Xenopus tropicalis: one gene and its partners. The protein of the gene in region 3 interacts with the protein of the main gene of each other region in a pairwise test. Links are inferred from orthologs where the notes say so. Each region holds a gene or a part of one and is shown on either strand. Other genes may lie near its edges.

Evidence for each region.
Region 1: the proteins of egfr (region 3) and stap2 interact in a protein complementation assay, tested with the Homo sapiens proteins (3 studies listed by BioGRID and IntAct, with this or other methods). The link is inferred for Xenopus tropicalis from reciprocal best matches to the Homo sapiens genes EGFR and STAP2.
Region 2: the proteins of egfr (region 3) and chd5 interact in a protein complementation assay, tested with the Homo sapiens proteins (2 studies listed by IntAct). The link is inferred for Xenopus tropicalis from reciprocal best matches to the Homo sapiens genes EGFR and CHD5.

Annotation. Positions count from the first base shown.
Region 1 is NC_030677.2:93,954,265-93,959,067, forward strand, and holds part of stap2 (signal-transducing adaptor protein 2), read left to right. Parts: intron 1-1,956; exon of another isoform or gene 1,957-2,038; intron 2,039-2,748; 5' UTR 2,749-2,858; coding exon 2,859-2,933; intron 2,934-3,659; coding exon 3,660-3,731; intron 3,732-4,442; coding exon 4,443-4,556; intron 4,557-4,803. UniProt on the Homo sapiens protein: Substrate of protein kinase PTK6. May play a regulatory role in the acute-phase response in systemic inflammation and may modulate STAT3 activity.
Region 2 is NC_030683.2:98,554,272-98,559,074, reverse strand, and holds part of chd5 (chromodomain-helicase-DNA-binding protein 5), read left to right. Parts: intron 1-3,759; coding exon 3,760-3,933; intron 3,934-4,639; coding exon 4,640-4,781; intron 4,782-4,803. UniProt on the Homo sapiens protein: ATP-dependent chromatin-remodeling factor that binds DNA through histones and regulates gene transcription. May specifically recognize and bind trimethylated 'Lys-27' (H3K27me3) and non-methylated 'Lys-4' of histone H3.
Region 3 is NC_030682.2:56,742,856-56,748,340, forward strand, and holds the start of egfr (epidermal growth factor receptor), read left to right. Parts: upstream 1-2,320; 5' UTR 2,321-2,341; coding exon 2,342-2,426; intron 2,427-5,485. UniProt on the Homo sapiens protein: Receptor tyrosine kinase binding ligands of the EGF family and activating several signaling cascades to convert extracellular cues into appropriate cellular responses.

The sequences.
Region 1 (4,803 bases), on a different chromosome or scaffold from region 3:
ACTACAGGCCATGTACCTATACCACATGGCTAGCAGGAACACATAATAAAAGAATCATACTCCTGCAAGTCATCCAATGTGGTATACCTTATCCCAGCTACAGGGCTATATGTGGGGTAAACTGGAGAAACACTACACCAGGGGATGTCCTCCCACATAACCAACATCAATTTTGGAAGAACAGATCTGATGATCTTCGAGTCATTATACTAGTGGGCAACTTTAAAACACAACATGAGCGAAAGGAATGGGAATATAAATGTATGCAAAAATTCAATACCCTACATAACAGCCTTAACAGGGAAAGAAGTTTTATGGCTAGATATGGCTTATAATACCTTTATTATGATCTTAAGGTGTAGAGTAAGATCACCCAATTTATTATACACAGTCTAAAACACACACCATTGCTATTTGCTTTCCCTAGTTGTGGGAATGCATATCTTCATTTTGCAAAATGGTGAAATATCTGTATCTTATGGTAGTCAATAGGCAGGAATTTATCTGGGGGCTAATATCTCGGTGTAACGTAGTTGTGACATAAGTTCTGCTTTATGTACTCAAAATGCGGAACTCTCTGTCAAACACTCATATTTCTTTTTATGTAAAGAAATGTAAAGAAGGCATGGCCCAGTGTTTCCACCACAGTGATGACTTATTAACTTCTGTCCCTGATTTTCAGTTTGGAAATCTTTAGCGTTCAGCTTCTGATGTCACTCAGGCAGCAAGCAGAATAGGCAGCAAGAAGTGCCAATGCCGGTGTGGTTGACAGACTTGTTGGTGCAGTCAGTGTGTCTGTGGTTTTCTCTGCAGTTGCATTTTATTTCAGGAGTGGGGGCTGGTAATCTCAATTTGGATGGGTTGAAATAATAGTAAAGCAGGACCACTGCACTGATTAAAGCATTTGCCTTTGGGTGCCAAAATATCTTGACCCAGGTCTGCTCCCTGCACTTCCATAAAGTTGTGTATGAAGCTGCTGCCTTCCTGCTTTCTGTTCCAAATTTTTGCAGCTATGCCAAATGCTGGAAATGGCACCAACTGGACTTTCGTGTCAAAGTGCTTCAGTTTTAATACATTAGCCCCTATTTGGTCAGATGCATCCAATGCCAGATTTGTAACTACGCCACCCAGAGGCCACCCCCATCCCCCGCCCCCTCCCCGCGCTGAGGATTGCGCAGATTCGCATCCACTTATTCCACATATGCAGCACTGGGGACAGAGCACCCAGTGCTCTGTATTTTATCAAAATTTAGGTGCAGTTGGGTGGCATTTTTGTGCTGCCCTAGGCCTAGGTCTTTGTGACCTCGCCAGAAATCAGGCCCTGGATGCCACTTGATCTCCACTTGTTGACTACAATTATTCTGGACTCATGGGGAAAATGCTGCATTGTGCTTATAAAAACATGGGAATTTGCACTTAGCCCACAGCAGTTGCGGTCATAAATAACCCCTTATCCAGCATTCATGTCAGTCCCTGCCTCAATGAAGCTTACAGTCTAAGTTCCTGTCACATTCACACACAGTAGGGTCAATTTTGTCATAAGCCAAGTAACCTGTCAGTTTGGGAGGAAACTGGAGTACCCAGAAGTAACCCACGCACCCATAGCACCTCTTGATACTTTACTTTGCAAATGGTGCCATGTAGCTGCTTTGTGACATTATTTTATTTAAATAAGGTACATGACTGTTAAACAGTATGCTTGCTATTTCATTGAACAAACATTGGCATCCATCAGAAAATGTTAACCTTGGTAAGCTTAAGAACATTCTACCAGCCAATTACTGTATACACAGGATCCAGTTAGTTATAATCTATGTGCCTGCATACAGGAAGCATGGTGTTTTTCTCTTTGGGGATTTCCCTAGTCTAAAGGTTATTTTCTTATTGCTAGGACAGTTTTATTCTTACATTCTTTTTAACTCTTCATTGCACAAGAGAGAAACTTGCGTGCAGTATCTGAAAACAAATAACTTATGTGTTGGTGTGACAATAACTGTTACTTCGTAACTGTACGAGGAATGTAGCCATGAAATAGGAGGTAATGTAAGCAATGATTCTAAAATGTAAAAGTGTAAATGATTGGTGAATGACAATAATTTGAACTTTGTGGATCTGTGCCAGAATTGTAATCATTAACAATTTTTTATACTTTAATCATTCCTTTTCATTAACCATATCTTACTAAGTAAGAGTAGCCAGAAATAGCAAGCCTCTGGCCATAGGAACCTAAAAAAATAATTTAGAATTTTAAATTCTACAAAATCATTTTTAAAACTCGTGACAGGGAGTCAAATTATGTACTACAAAGGTTGCAGGGCCCAGGAACCTTTCTTTATCCTAGGAACTTAAAATAGCTCTTTCACCACAGTGAGCAAAAAACTCAGTGAAAAGTGACCAGGAGATTGGGGGTGTTAGAGTATGTTTGTTTGAGTAGCAAGAAGGGGAACTATGGGATGGCAAGGAATGGGATTTGCAGACCAATAATGGCAGGTCATTTAGTGATACTTTTAGCACAAAATAAGTTCTTTTTTTGTCTGACTTGACTTTGGTCAATTAGCAATTTCAGTATTTATGCCTGTATGTATATGATTTTTTTTAAATAAAAAAATAAGCTCAGACATGCAATGTTAAGTGTGAGCAATGACTTACATTGTACTAATGCTTATCTGAATCAGTAGATGTTTTTCTACAATATAAATTCTGGTACTCATGTGGTTAAACTCCATGTTGTTTCACCTCCCTCTTTAGAAAAATTACTGGAATGTAAGGCAACACCCAGCTTCCTGTAAAGCAGCTAGTACCTGCAGTCATTACAGTCAAGAAATCTTACCTGCAACTCGTTCACCTGCTTACCAGCCATGTCCAGAGCAAAGACACCTGCTCCTGAACATTATTACGAAGAATATCTTTATAAAAAAGACAAAAATGACAGGGTATGTAATTTGCTTTAGTAATGCTTACTACCGTCCTTTCTGAACATTTTAAACAGCCTTGCAGTGCTAGCCCTCTGACTGAAATTATCAGCTAGGGAAATAAGCTTTATTCATGTAGAAATCATTTTATTGAGATTTAGGCAAAATGAAGTCATAAAAGCACTGAGTACTATAAAAATATGTCTTTTCTGCTTTTCTCTGTCTCTCTTTTAATTTCACCTATTGTTTTCACGCATATTTTAACTTGTTACGTTGTAACACATATTATGATTGAGCCCATTTAAAGGAATTGCATGGTTTATGGAGCAAAGAGTCAGGCAACATTTAAAACTGAGTTTTGCTCTTTTAACTTATTTTATCTAATGCCAGATTAGGTTTTCATTGCTCACAGTATGCTGAGGATTGCTTAACCTATCAGCTCTTTAACTTGGCTAGCTTAATTTTTCCTTCTCAATACTTGACCTCTACCAGGGAGAGTTGGCAAAACCCTTTCCTATTTGCCTACAAGCCCCTAATCCATTATGGAGCCCTTTATCTCTGTATAGCCCTTATTTAAAGTACTGTTCAGTACTGCCAAGTGCTTTTGCTGTATTGAGATTTTATACAATCATTTCCTGTCCTGACATAAAAGAACACAAAAAAAAACTTAACAATGCCTCATTTTATCCTGAATGACATTTTATCAAATCTTAATGTTTTATCCCTTTTTCCATGCATTGCTTTTAGGGATTTACAAAGCTTTGGGCTGGAATTTTAGGAAACACTCTGTGCTTCTACTCCAATCACAAGGATTTGCGGGTAAAACTACTTGTTCATTTACAAATAAAGAGGATGGATCTTAATGCCTTTTTCATTAAAGAAAGCTATTATTCTCCATTTCCTTTTGAATAGAAGGCTGAGAAGGAGAGGGAGGTGCACTATTCAGTTACACAGATACTATGAAAGTCCATTTAGCTTTTGCAAAGCCGTTTTAGTGTTAACAGGAAGAAAGTAAGAATAATAACCAGCTTTGCAATTTTCAAGTAAAGTTCTTCCTGATTGTAAAAATGCCTAACTTGATAAATTAATGGATCAGCTACTACTAATTCTATTTAATAAATAGGTATATACTTCACTTCTAGAAGGACATCCAAAATGTTGCCTCTATCTAATACATTGAAATTGTACAAGATTTTACATTTTCTAAACCTTCAGGCCCTACAAGAATCAAATGTCCTACTTTCTCATAAATTAACTCCTGTGAACCCAAACCATTTTTAAACCCATCCTTTGATTCACTCCAGATTATCTCACCGAGCCAGCAAATACATGAATTTAATTGTCATTACAGTAAAGAATAATTCATATTGACAAACTTTTGCATAGTTAGGTTTTAGGTCTGTGTTTAAATATAGCTAATGCAGTTCAAAGTTTAGTCTACAGAAATGACTGCCTTTTAGAAGATTTATACATCTTATAGATTTTTACAAATTTATAGATTGTAATATCTGACATTTTTGCTGGTTTTAGAGCATTGACACCATCAGTTTGGAAAATTATGTATCTCTGAAGGAGCCTGGTGGTAATTTGTCATCAGAAAATCAATTTTCCTTGTGCATGAAAGGGCGAGAAATACAGCTAAAGGTGAGTGTTTTGCACACAGACACTAAGCTACCCCTTGTATATCAACCATTGATAAAAGACGAATAGAGATAAGAGAACAGTCCAGAAAAAGTACAAGGTACAAGCTGTTACAGGGAAGAATATTCCTGTGCCAGTCACATGACTAAATTACGGCCTATGGGGAACTGCAGTAATAGCATAATAAAGTAATACAATACATCAAGAATCGATATTAGCATAAGAACGATGCTGGAACCTTTCCTTTATT
Region 2 (4,803 bases), on a different chromosome or scaffold from region 3:
CTAGACTGGCATGTTTAATAACATGTATATGACTATTGTATATGACTATTGTGTTTTACCAGTATGGTAAAACACACAAAAAAAACAAAAAACAGTGGGGCTCATTTCTTAATATTGGGCACATTTGTGCCTGGACAATATTCCATAACAACCAATCAGGAATTAGTGTTTTTAGCCAGCTGCAGGAAGACAAGGTAAGCAAAAAATTGCCATGGGTTACTGCCCAGTGTTGATAAATTATGCATTACAGATAAGATATTACTTAAAGGAAAACAATGTAGGTCTCTATAAAAATATATAGAATACAAAAGCTCACATGTAAAACCCTGCTTCATCTAAATAAACCATTTAAAAAAAAATATATATATACCTTTTTAGTAGTAATCGTAAATAAATAAAAAAAATCACCATTTTAAGTAACCTTGGGATCATACAATTCCCTGTGCACACTCACATGTTAGGCCACATCAGCCAATTAATGGACAGAACTCTATCTTTTACTCCCACATTTCCTGACTTCCTGTTACAGTTAGAGCTGCATTACTTCCTGATCTCTGAGGGAGCACACAGACCATCACAAAAGGGTGGCTCAAAGGGAAAAGATGTAAAAGGGCAATATATATATATATATAGAAGGTGCTTGAGAGAGGGTCAGCACTCACAGGACTTATATAAACAAATTATTTTTTATTAAAGAGGAGACTAACAGTTCTGCTTCACATGAGCCCCATGAGTTGAAATAGACTCATAATCAAGAAAACTTAGTCAGTAATTTACTGACCAAGTTTTTTTGATTATGAGTCTATTTCAACTCATGGGGCTCATGTGAAGCAGAACTGTGTTGATACAAACTTGTTACTTTCTCGGCTCACCCCTGACAGCTAACTACAGTAGCGTGTTAATTTTGATACTTTTGTTTCTGTTTAAGCTGCTGCTTAGACCTTTTGATTACTTGCTTGTACTTATTATTATTTCTTGTGTTTTTTTTTTATTTCATGTTTTCAGTTTTTTTATTGATTTATCTCTGGTATCCTGTCTCTGGCGACATATGATGACGTCATCTCCACTTTTTTAGACACTGTGTTTGTTGTATTCACCACTTTGATAAAGGCTAGAGTGCTAGCCGAAACGTTAGTCTCCTCTTTAATAAAAATAATTTGTTTGTATAAGTCCTGTGAGTGCTGACCCTCTCTCAAGCACCTTCAACATTATTTGGACCTGCACCCAGGCAACAGCAACTTATCTATACGTGAGTGCCGGCATTTACTTGGAAGTTTATATATATATATGTATTATGTATGTATTTATGTATATATATATATTTATATATATATATATATATATTGCAGTTTGGTAGGATTCTTTAATAGGCCACATTTTATGATATAAACTATTTGTTGGCTAAGTATTTGTTCTGGAGTTAGAGGTTTCCTTTAAAGCACATTCCCATCTCTCTCATTTAAAATAGCATAAGAGTGGTAATGATAATAGCGAGCAGGGAATTTAAAGACTACTGTCATGGAAAACATGTCTATCTAAAAATGCACCAGTTATTAGTGACATGGGGCTACACACGTTCTTAGTTTTGCAGGTGCCTTCAGCCATGTGACTTGTGCTGATAAACATTCACTCCCCCCCCCCCCCCTCAACTGATCAGCAGAACAATGGGAAGGTAGAAAGATAGCAGCTCCCTGACACCTGTATTGCTAAAAGTGGTAGATTAGAGAATACCACTCTATAGTAAACATCCAAGTCTGCCTCACCCAAGTCATGACTCCTCCAATTACATTGAGTAGGAGAAACAATAGGTTATCTGAAAGAAGTCCTAATGTGTAGCACTGGCTCCTTCTGAAAGCTCAGACACAATGCACTGAGATGGCGCCTACACACCAATATTACAGCTAAAAAAATGCATTTGTTGGTTCAAGAATAAAATTTTAAATGGTTGAGTGAATTATCTGCAATGTAAACAGTGTAATTCAAAAATAAAATACATTTAACTTTATTTAGAATTGTTTTGGTTGTTTCACATTTACTCCAGCATTGTCATTATTACATCTTTAGTACACTGTCCTTTTTTCCATTTCTTTAGCCTCTTAGAATAGGTTATCATTTTTGTGGAGTTTTTCTCAATTTTAGTCACAATGCTGAATTGATTTTTCTTCCTGTGATGTGACTTCATCAGCCAGTTCAAATAGACTTCATCAGCCAATTAGAATATCCAAGGCTATTGTGATACTAATATCTACAGTTAGTACTAGTGGTTGTATTTATAGCTTATGTATGTGAGTATAGATTGGTAGGTGTGGGTTAGGTGTGCTGGGTTTACTTGGATGGGTTGAACTTGATGGACACAGGTCTTTTTTCAACCCTATGTAACTATGTAACTATGTAACTATGTAATTATAATATTCTCTATTAGAGTCCTGATATATCATCATTGCTGCTAAAAAATACCAGGGGATCTTTTTGAACACATTTTACCTTTTCATGATTAGTGAAGCTATTTATCAGATTATAAGATATCTCTCCAATCTGTGCCTTGCGTGTGTATATATTTATAAAGCTGGACAAGAATGTTATATTTAGGGGCAGATTTATCAAGTTTAGAGCTTAATACACAAAAATTCACCCGTGCTCTTTTCATTCCTATGGGATTTTTAGAAGTGTATTTATCAATGGGTGAAAGTTAGAATTCACCCATTAGTAAATTTGCTTATTCATATCCCATTGGAATGAATAGAACATGTGTGAGTTTTTGTATATTAAAGTACAAGGAAAGGTTAATATAAACTAAAGGCATTATTTTTAAGTACTTACTGCATATCTAAATTCCCAGATCCCTGCTTGCTTCTCTGAGATATGGTGCTGGCAGCCTACAGCAGTGTGAAGACTACAGTGACATCACTGAAATCTCTCTCCCCTTCCTGTAGGCTGCCAGCGGCAGTAGCCTCCAGTAGCAATGCACATGTGCGTAACTTGATCCTGTCTCCTGTTCTGAGCTACACATGCCCACCAGCCAATCAGAAGCGGATCTGGCAGAGGGGAGGGGGGGGAGGGAATGAAACACATGTGTATGAAGCATGCAGGGAAAGGAAGGGAGAATACCTTTTTAAAGATGTCTGCCTGGTCAAGAAACCAGATAGAAAATGTGAAGTAAGTGTGACTGAGTAAATATTTGATTAGGTGAGCCAAAAGTGTGGGGTTTTTACTAAACAATATGAGGACTATTGGGCAGTGTGCTTTTTAAATTTTGACTTGCATTCTCCTTTAAGCTCTAAACTCACATTTTGATAAGTCTGCCCCTTCATGTGCAAATTCTTATTTGCGCTGCAATTACCCATACAGATCTATGCTTGCACACTCTGCATTTGAGTAACCCCAATAGAAAACATATTCGCAAAAAAGTTTTCTCAAATTGCAAATTTATATTTGCAAAACTACCCTCAATGCAAAGTTCGCGCACACCGACTACAAACAGTGGACATGCTCACGCAAACACACATCTCATTTGCGAGCCATATGCAAATATTTTTGCAAAATGTGCATCTCACCACGATTCACAAAACAGCGGTGCAATATTTAAGCATTAAGGGGAAAACATAATCATTAAGTTTATTAATGAACCCAAATGACTGTAATGTAGTAATGAATGTATATTAGGAAGCTCGCAGACTTTAAACATATTAGCTATTCTCAGTGACTGCTCATATACCGGAAGGGAACCTCTCAGCAGGCCTGCTGTGTTTTGTTTTTCAGTAATCTAGATGGGTTTTTGGAAGAGTTTGCAGACATCTCCAAGGAAGACCAAATTAAGAAACTTCATGACTTGCTGGGACCCCACATGCTTAGGCGGTTAAAAGCAGATGTCTTTAAGAACATGCCAGCCAAAACAGAATTAATAGTACGAGTGGAGCTCAGCCAAATGCAAAAGTAAGTCTGTATGAAAACCTGTTGGTTAACACTATGTAATCATTTCCAGTTATCATGTGCTACTAAAAACCCAATGCTTAGTCATTCAGATATCACTTATGTTTGATAAAATAGCTCCAATGCAGTAGAACTGAATAAAACATTGAGTGAATGTGGTATAAATCTGAATTTATATTCACAAAGTATTTCTTTCCTTACTATGGGAGTTGTATGCATATATCCATTTGAGATTATATGGGGTCAACTGCTAAGGAAAACAAGAGTATGTGCACCCAGGAAGCCACTGACACTGGGGAGCAGGGATCAACAGAAAGTAAAAGTGTTAGGTCTGTGGTGAGATTTAAAAATTGCTTAAAAATAGTTATATAACTACAATTTGTTTCAGTGTTTCAACTTTAGAATTTGTTAGTATTATTGGAAGTTACCCTAATCATACACACAGTAGTTAATAATTGGCTTCTTTTAATGTAGGTGGAAATAATTTGTCTACCTGCTACAAGATTTAGGATCAAAATATTAGAAAATATACAGATGCATTGGGCTTGTTTAGGTGTGTTGGGTTTGTCAAATGTCTTAGGACAGATGATATCCTCACTTGAGGGGGTTCAGGGTAGTTTTGCCAAATATTGCTCAATTTAGACGTACTGCCTGGGCACATCCTTTCACTGTTTCCATGATAAATTTCATTCTGCTTGCTTTGATGCAGGAAGTATTATAAGTTTATATTGACAAGAAACTTTGAGGCTTTGAATTCAAAAGGAGGTGGAAACCAAGTTTCATTGCTCAACATCATGATGGACCTAAAGAAGTGCTGTAATCACCCTTATCTCTTTCCTGTCGCTGCTGTGGTATGTACAGATCTGTGACTTC
Region 3 (5,485 bases):
AAATTAAATAAAGATTTTATAATCTTCCATTGACTTCTAAATGACTTTGCCAAGTTTTTTATCATTCCATGGTTTTTACACTTGATAGAAAAAAATGTGTTTGATTCATGATTTTTAGTGCTAAAAATTAATTATGATTTGGAGAAAAGAAAATAATACGAAGGTTAATAAATCAGCAGAAATCACTATTATTGTCTTTTTTTCTATTTGTACCCACAGCTATTTCTATTACCCTGTTTAGGCAGCTGGACTGCAAACACCAGGGGAGGAACGCAGGAAGGGCAGTTGCCTTTTTACTTTTCTTGTGAGCAGTGTTTTCAAGGATTGCCCTTTGCCTTTCCCTTGTAAAAAAGAATAGAAAACAATATTAGTAATCAGGCCAAGACTGGGATTCAAAATAGCCCCTGCATTTCAAGTACACAGAAGCCCAAACAGCCCCTCACCACCCCAATAAATAGTGTCTAAACTCTAAACTTCCCCATCCAGTGGCTCCTGAGCAACATGTTGCTCCCCAAACCCTTGGATGTTGCTCCCAGTGGCCTCAAAGCAGGTGCTCATTTTTGAATTTCTGGCTTAGAGGCAAGTTTTAGTTCAACAAAAATGGTCTAATGCCAAACAGAGACTTCTGTTGGCTGCCAGTCCACATTGGGGCTATTAAAGGAGAAGGAAAGGCTAAGTCACTTGGGGGTGCCAAATGTTAGGCACCCCCAAGTGACTTAGATCGCTTACCTTGTACCCCAGGCTGGTGCCCCTGTTAGGAGAAAACAGCACCAGCCCGGGGTACCTGCAGCGAGCCTTCCTCCTTCCATTTTCGCGCTGCCGGCGAAATCCGTGGGCCGGCGCATGCGCAGTAGAGTGAAAAGCCGACTTCTATGTTTAAGTTCGGCTTTTTCACTGTACTGCGCATGCGCGTGCAGCGAATACGGAAGAGGAAGCGCTTGCAGCTACCCCGGGCTGGTGCTGTTCTCTCTGAACAGGGGCACCAGCCCGGGGTAAAAAGTATGCAATTTAAGTCACTTGGGGGTGCCTAACATTTTGGCACCCCCAAGTGACTTAACCTTTCCTTCTCCTTTAAGTAGCTCTTATTTGGCAGCCCCAGGAATATTTTTCATGCTTGTGTTGCTCCCCAACACTTTTTTAAAAAGGTCGGGGGATCCCTGCTCTATAGCATCTCACAGCAGCCCTTCTGTCAGCTGAGGTTCAACTCCACATTATCCCTTGGTCCATCCTGGCTGCTCAGTGAAGGACCCTTTGATTTTTTCTATGCCCTTCATAAAAGGCATCTGCCTCTTACCAGCTTTTACTGGGTGGCTGGAGGAGGGCTGGGGGCTCAGTTGTTTAACACAGGGTTACCAGATCACATGAAATTTCAGGGACACCTATACATGTTACATTTAATTGCAATCACTGCAGCCCTGGATTTTATTGACACGTTCCATAATTTTGAAGTTAAATGGTAACTTCTTATCTAGACACCTAATATGCACCGCATTGATCCAAACAGTCACAGGTGTCATTTTTGATTCCCTGGAACACTCTAATCTGGCGTTTCATGTGACAGCGGAAGACGTGGTGCTTTACAGCCCATCGCAGAAAGACAAACTTTAGCTTTGTTAAAACGTATTTGTTGACAAAATGTATTTGTCAAGCAGTAGTTTTCAGCTTCCATTTTACTTTTTGAAGCACTCCAGCATTTACAAAATTATATTTTGCTCATAAATATAAACGATTCTGCTGATTTGCTAGTGAACTGCATTATTGCGCGAATTGTCTCCTATTGTGTTTGTTGTGACCAATAGGTGGCGCTGCTTCCCTTGCTCCTATGAAGCTCTGCCAGGAGTGAGCGATAATAATGCCCGTAGCTCGGCTCGTCCTGGAGTGTGAGGAAGGCTGTGGGAGGGGGAGTGGAATGAGGCACACCTCTCCGTGATGTCACAGCAGCCAAACATGCCAGATTCTTTTCGTGAGGGACTCACACAGACCGGCTCGTTCTGTCAAAAGTTTTGCAACTCCTGGGAAGTGAGTGTGGAAATAGGGATAAGCAGTTCCTGTCACTGGCACTTCGTTTACTCCCTGCTGTTTCTCCATACACCAGATAAGAGAAGACACTGGACTGTCTCATGTGAGAGAGCCCCACAATAAGCTCGGAGTCCAACGCTCTCAGCTTCCTTCTATTCCCTCCGCTCCCCCGTGGGTATATATCGTGTTCACAATGGATGTGAGGCGTTCTGTGGATTTGGGTCACTGAAACAAGACCGGTGTCAGAGGCAGCAGATAAAGCACAGGACTGCAGGAAGGATCCATCCTCATTTCTGTTCTTGGGGGTAGCTGAAGACTCGGGATGGGGTCTTTTAGCCGGAGTGTGGGATTATATATCTGCGTCTTCTTCGTCAGTCAGTCCTGCTTTTCTCTGGAAGAAAAGAAAGGTAAGGAAAGAAATTCACTTGCCACTTCATTGCTTCTGTGCCTGTAGGGAAGCCAGCCCTGGCACACAAAGGGTTATCAGACTTTCTGCGTTTCTGATAGTGGCAGTGTTGGTTTGGCTAGTGAATTGCCTCTCTCTACATCCACTTATTGATTTCCTGTGACCTACAGAGTGTAGCCAGGAGTATAGGGTGAGCCTACCTGGCTGGATACAGGTAATCCTCCTCTGGTCTGAATATGGGACAAGGGGACTCCCTGTGCCTCCTATGGGAACTATAAGGATACAGGAAATACACAAGAAAGTAAATCCCTTTCCTTCAGTGGGCTGTGACAGCAATATTACAAAATTATCCTGAGAAATTGGTCTTGTGTTTTGAAAAGACATGCTTTTGTGATGGCAGAGACTGTCCTGGAGTGTGAGCTGTGTACATTTGTAGTCACCCTGTGTATAAACTTGTGACTATGTCCTTGTAGAATGGTTACAGAAACACCTCTATAAAAGAGATACTTAGTGGGTGGATGTAATAAAAATCATCCTATGGTATAATTGCATAAATAAGAACAAAAATGTGTGCTCAGCAATGCATTATTTGACTATTATTGCAATATTATGCATTAGACAAATATTGCATTGTGACTTTTAATTACACATAACACATTTGTAAGACCTGCTGCAAGGTGGCATATTTTTTGTGCAAATTTTTTTTTGTTTAATTAAGAAGCTTTATAACCTATACTGTGCACTAATGCAAACAATAAACTGCACAGTATTTTTGTACTGTTATATGGGTTGCTAAATAGTTTAGCTGGTTTGCAAACCCTATATTAAATATGTTCAAAGGATAAAAAGCTTGCATAGTGAATAATTTTTCTGACTTAAGTTACTTTGCCCTCATTGGAACTCATCTTCAGCTTCAAAACCCACACACAGGGCATAAGGCAAGAGCAAGGAACTTAAAAAAACTACAAACAGTTATTTACATAACTTACAACAGTTTTATTTGCATTTGATGGATTGATTGATGCAGCAGATAAACAAGTGTTTAAATATGTATATATCTACAGTATATATAGAGAGGCAGGCTTACTGGTGAGTGAATGTATGTATAGTTATAAAACGCCAGCATCTGGACTTAATATAAAATATCTGTGACATTTCATGGGAGCCTATGCTACTGTCCAACAATGATTTTTTTTTTGTTTTTTTTAATGAAATTGATCTTGCCTCTGTTTTCAGTTATGTGTTGTAGCTTATATAACATTAAGAACAAAACCCATTTTTTTTTTATAAATAAGTAGGTGGGTGAAATTCTTCTCTGACTTCTGAGCAATTTGTTTTACCACGCTCTTTCAGACCACAGATGGTTAACATATACTGTCATGTGTGTAGTTAATAGGATCCGCTAAATAACTACTAAGGCTAAGATGCTGGCTCCCCACCCTTTTTAGAAAAGAATTTATCAGGAGCTTGCTATACAAGCACAGATTTGTATTTGTTCTAGTACATTGCACTTTGTACTGTAAAAATAACAATACTTTAACAGTTCTGTCATGTGGGCATGCTGAAGTCTTGACTTGGGGCAATAGAATTCAGTCTGTTCCAGGTGTGCAGTTCGACTGAATAAATGTGACAATGTAAACGGGGTTTCGTACGATATTATCAGTGAGTGTATGGCCAGCTTTAGACTAAACTTGTCCCCCCACCATAATTTTTATTTCCTTCTGCCACAGTGGTTGCAAATTCTGTTGGTGCCACAAACATTCCACTATGGAATGTATAAATAAATAAATACATGTCAAATCTCAATGAAACCTTTATTTAATGTTTGTGTTTTGCATATTTTATACTTATTTCAGCCGCTTTACATAATATTTTGTCTTATATAAATTGGTACAAATGTCATTGCTGCTGATATCACACTGATATTTACCTGGAGCCAAAGGATTTTTTGTACTTGTGTGTATGATATATTTATGACATTCCTTCAGTAAGACCTCTGCCTGGTATCTGTGCACCTGACTCCCTGTTTTTGCTTTATGTGTTTGGCCAAAGATGGATTAAACAGCTTCCTTCTACTGCCTAACAAAAAAAAACATTACGTCAGTCCATCTGTTTAATTACAGTGCAATATTGGCAGCCCAAAACTGCATATCAATCTTCATATGTTAGATAACATCAGGATGGCTGATATACAGAAGTGCTGGCTGGCACAATAGGAGAGTTCTCTACTACGCATAGAGAGTTGGGTAGAACTTTCAGAACTTCATGGAAGAATTGCTATGCCTTTGAACACTGTATGACTGTGGGTATTTGTGAGCCCGAAGAACTGTGCCACATTTAATCATTTTATAAGATAAAACTAAAACCAAGCTCCCTGCAATAACTTGATCATACACTTTTAAATCTTCATGCCTGGACAGAGCATAGGTGATGATTTAGTATCATGGTTGTTCATTTCTTCTAATGGTTCTAATGTAATTAAACTTTTGATTGTGTAATATCACTTACGAGTTTTACAGCAGGGAAAAACAATTGGACCAACACTTCCTGATCTCTATGGAATTCTGTCTAATCTGAAAACCTACCTTGTCTAGCAGGGGAAGGCAACAGTCATCAAGCAAGCTGACCTCTTTACTGAAACCATAGTAAATGTACAAGGCTGGAGTTCAGTTTCCATGTTTGAATCAAGTTGCTGTGTATTACAGAAACTCTGAGGGCATCCTGTAAATGTTAATTGTTCCATCTAGTTAATTAACAAAAAGAGGTAAACAGTAGGAACAATGCAGCATGCAGAGACAGGCCCCCACAAGCAGCCGTAATGCTACACTCTGTAAAGATTACATCTAAAGAGGGCAGAGAAAAATATAAGCCCTTCCACTGCACTGAAAAAGAAAATGTAAACTAGTTTGCATTTACTAAATAGAAATATGCAGATCTGACTGTTTAGTGCACACAATACCATATGTTCTCCCTTTTAATAAAATGCTTATATTTCCAGTTTCCTGTGTGCCGTTCCCCATAAACCTATAATAGGCTTTGTAAATAAAAAATGATTGATAA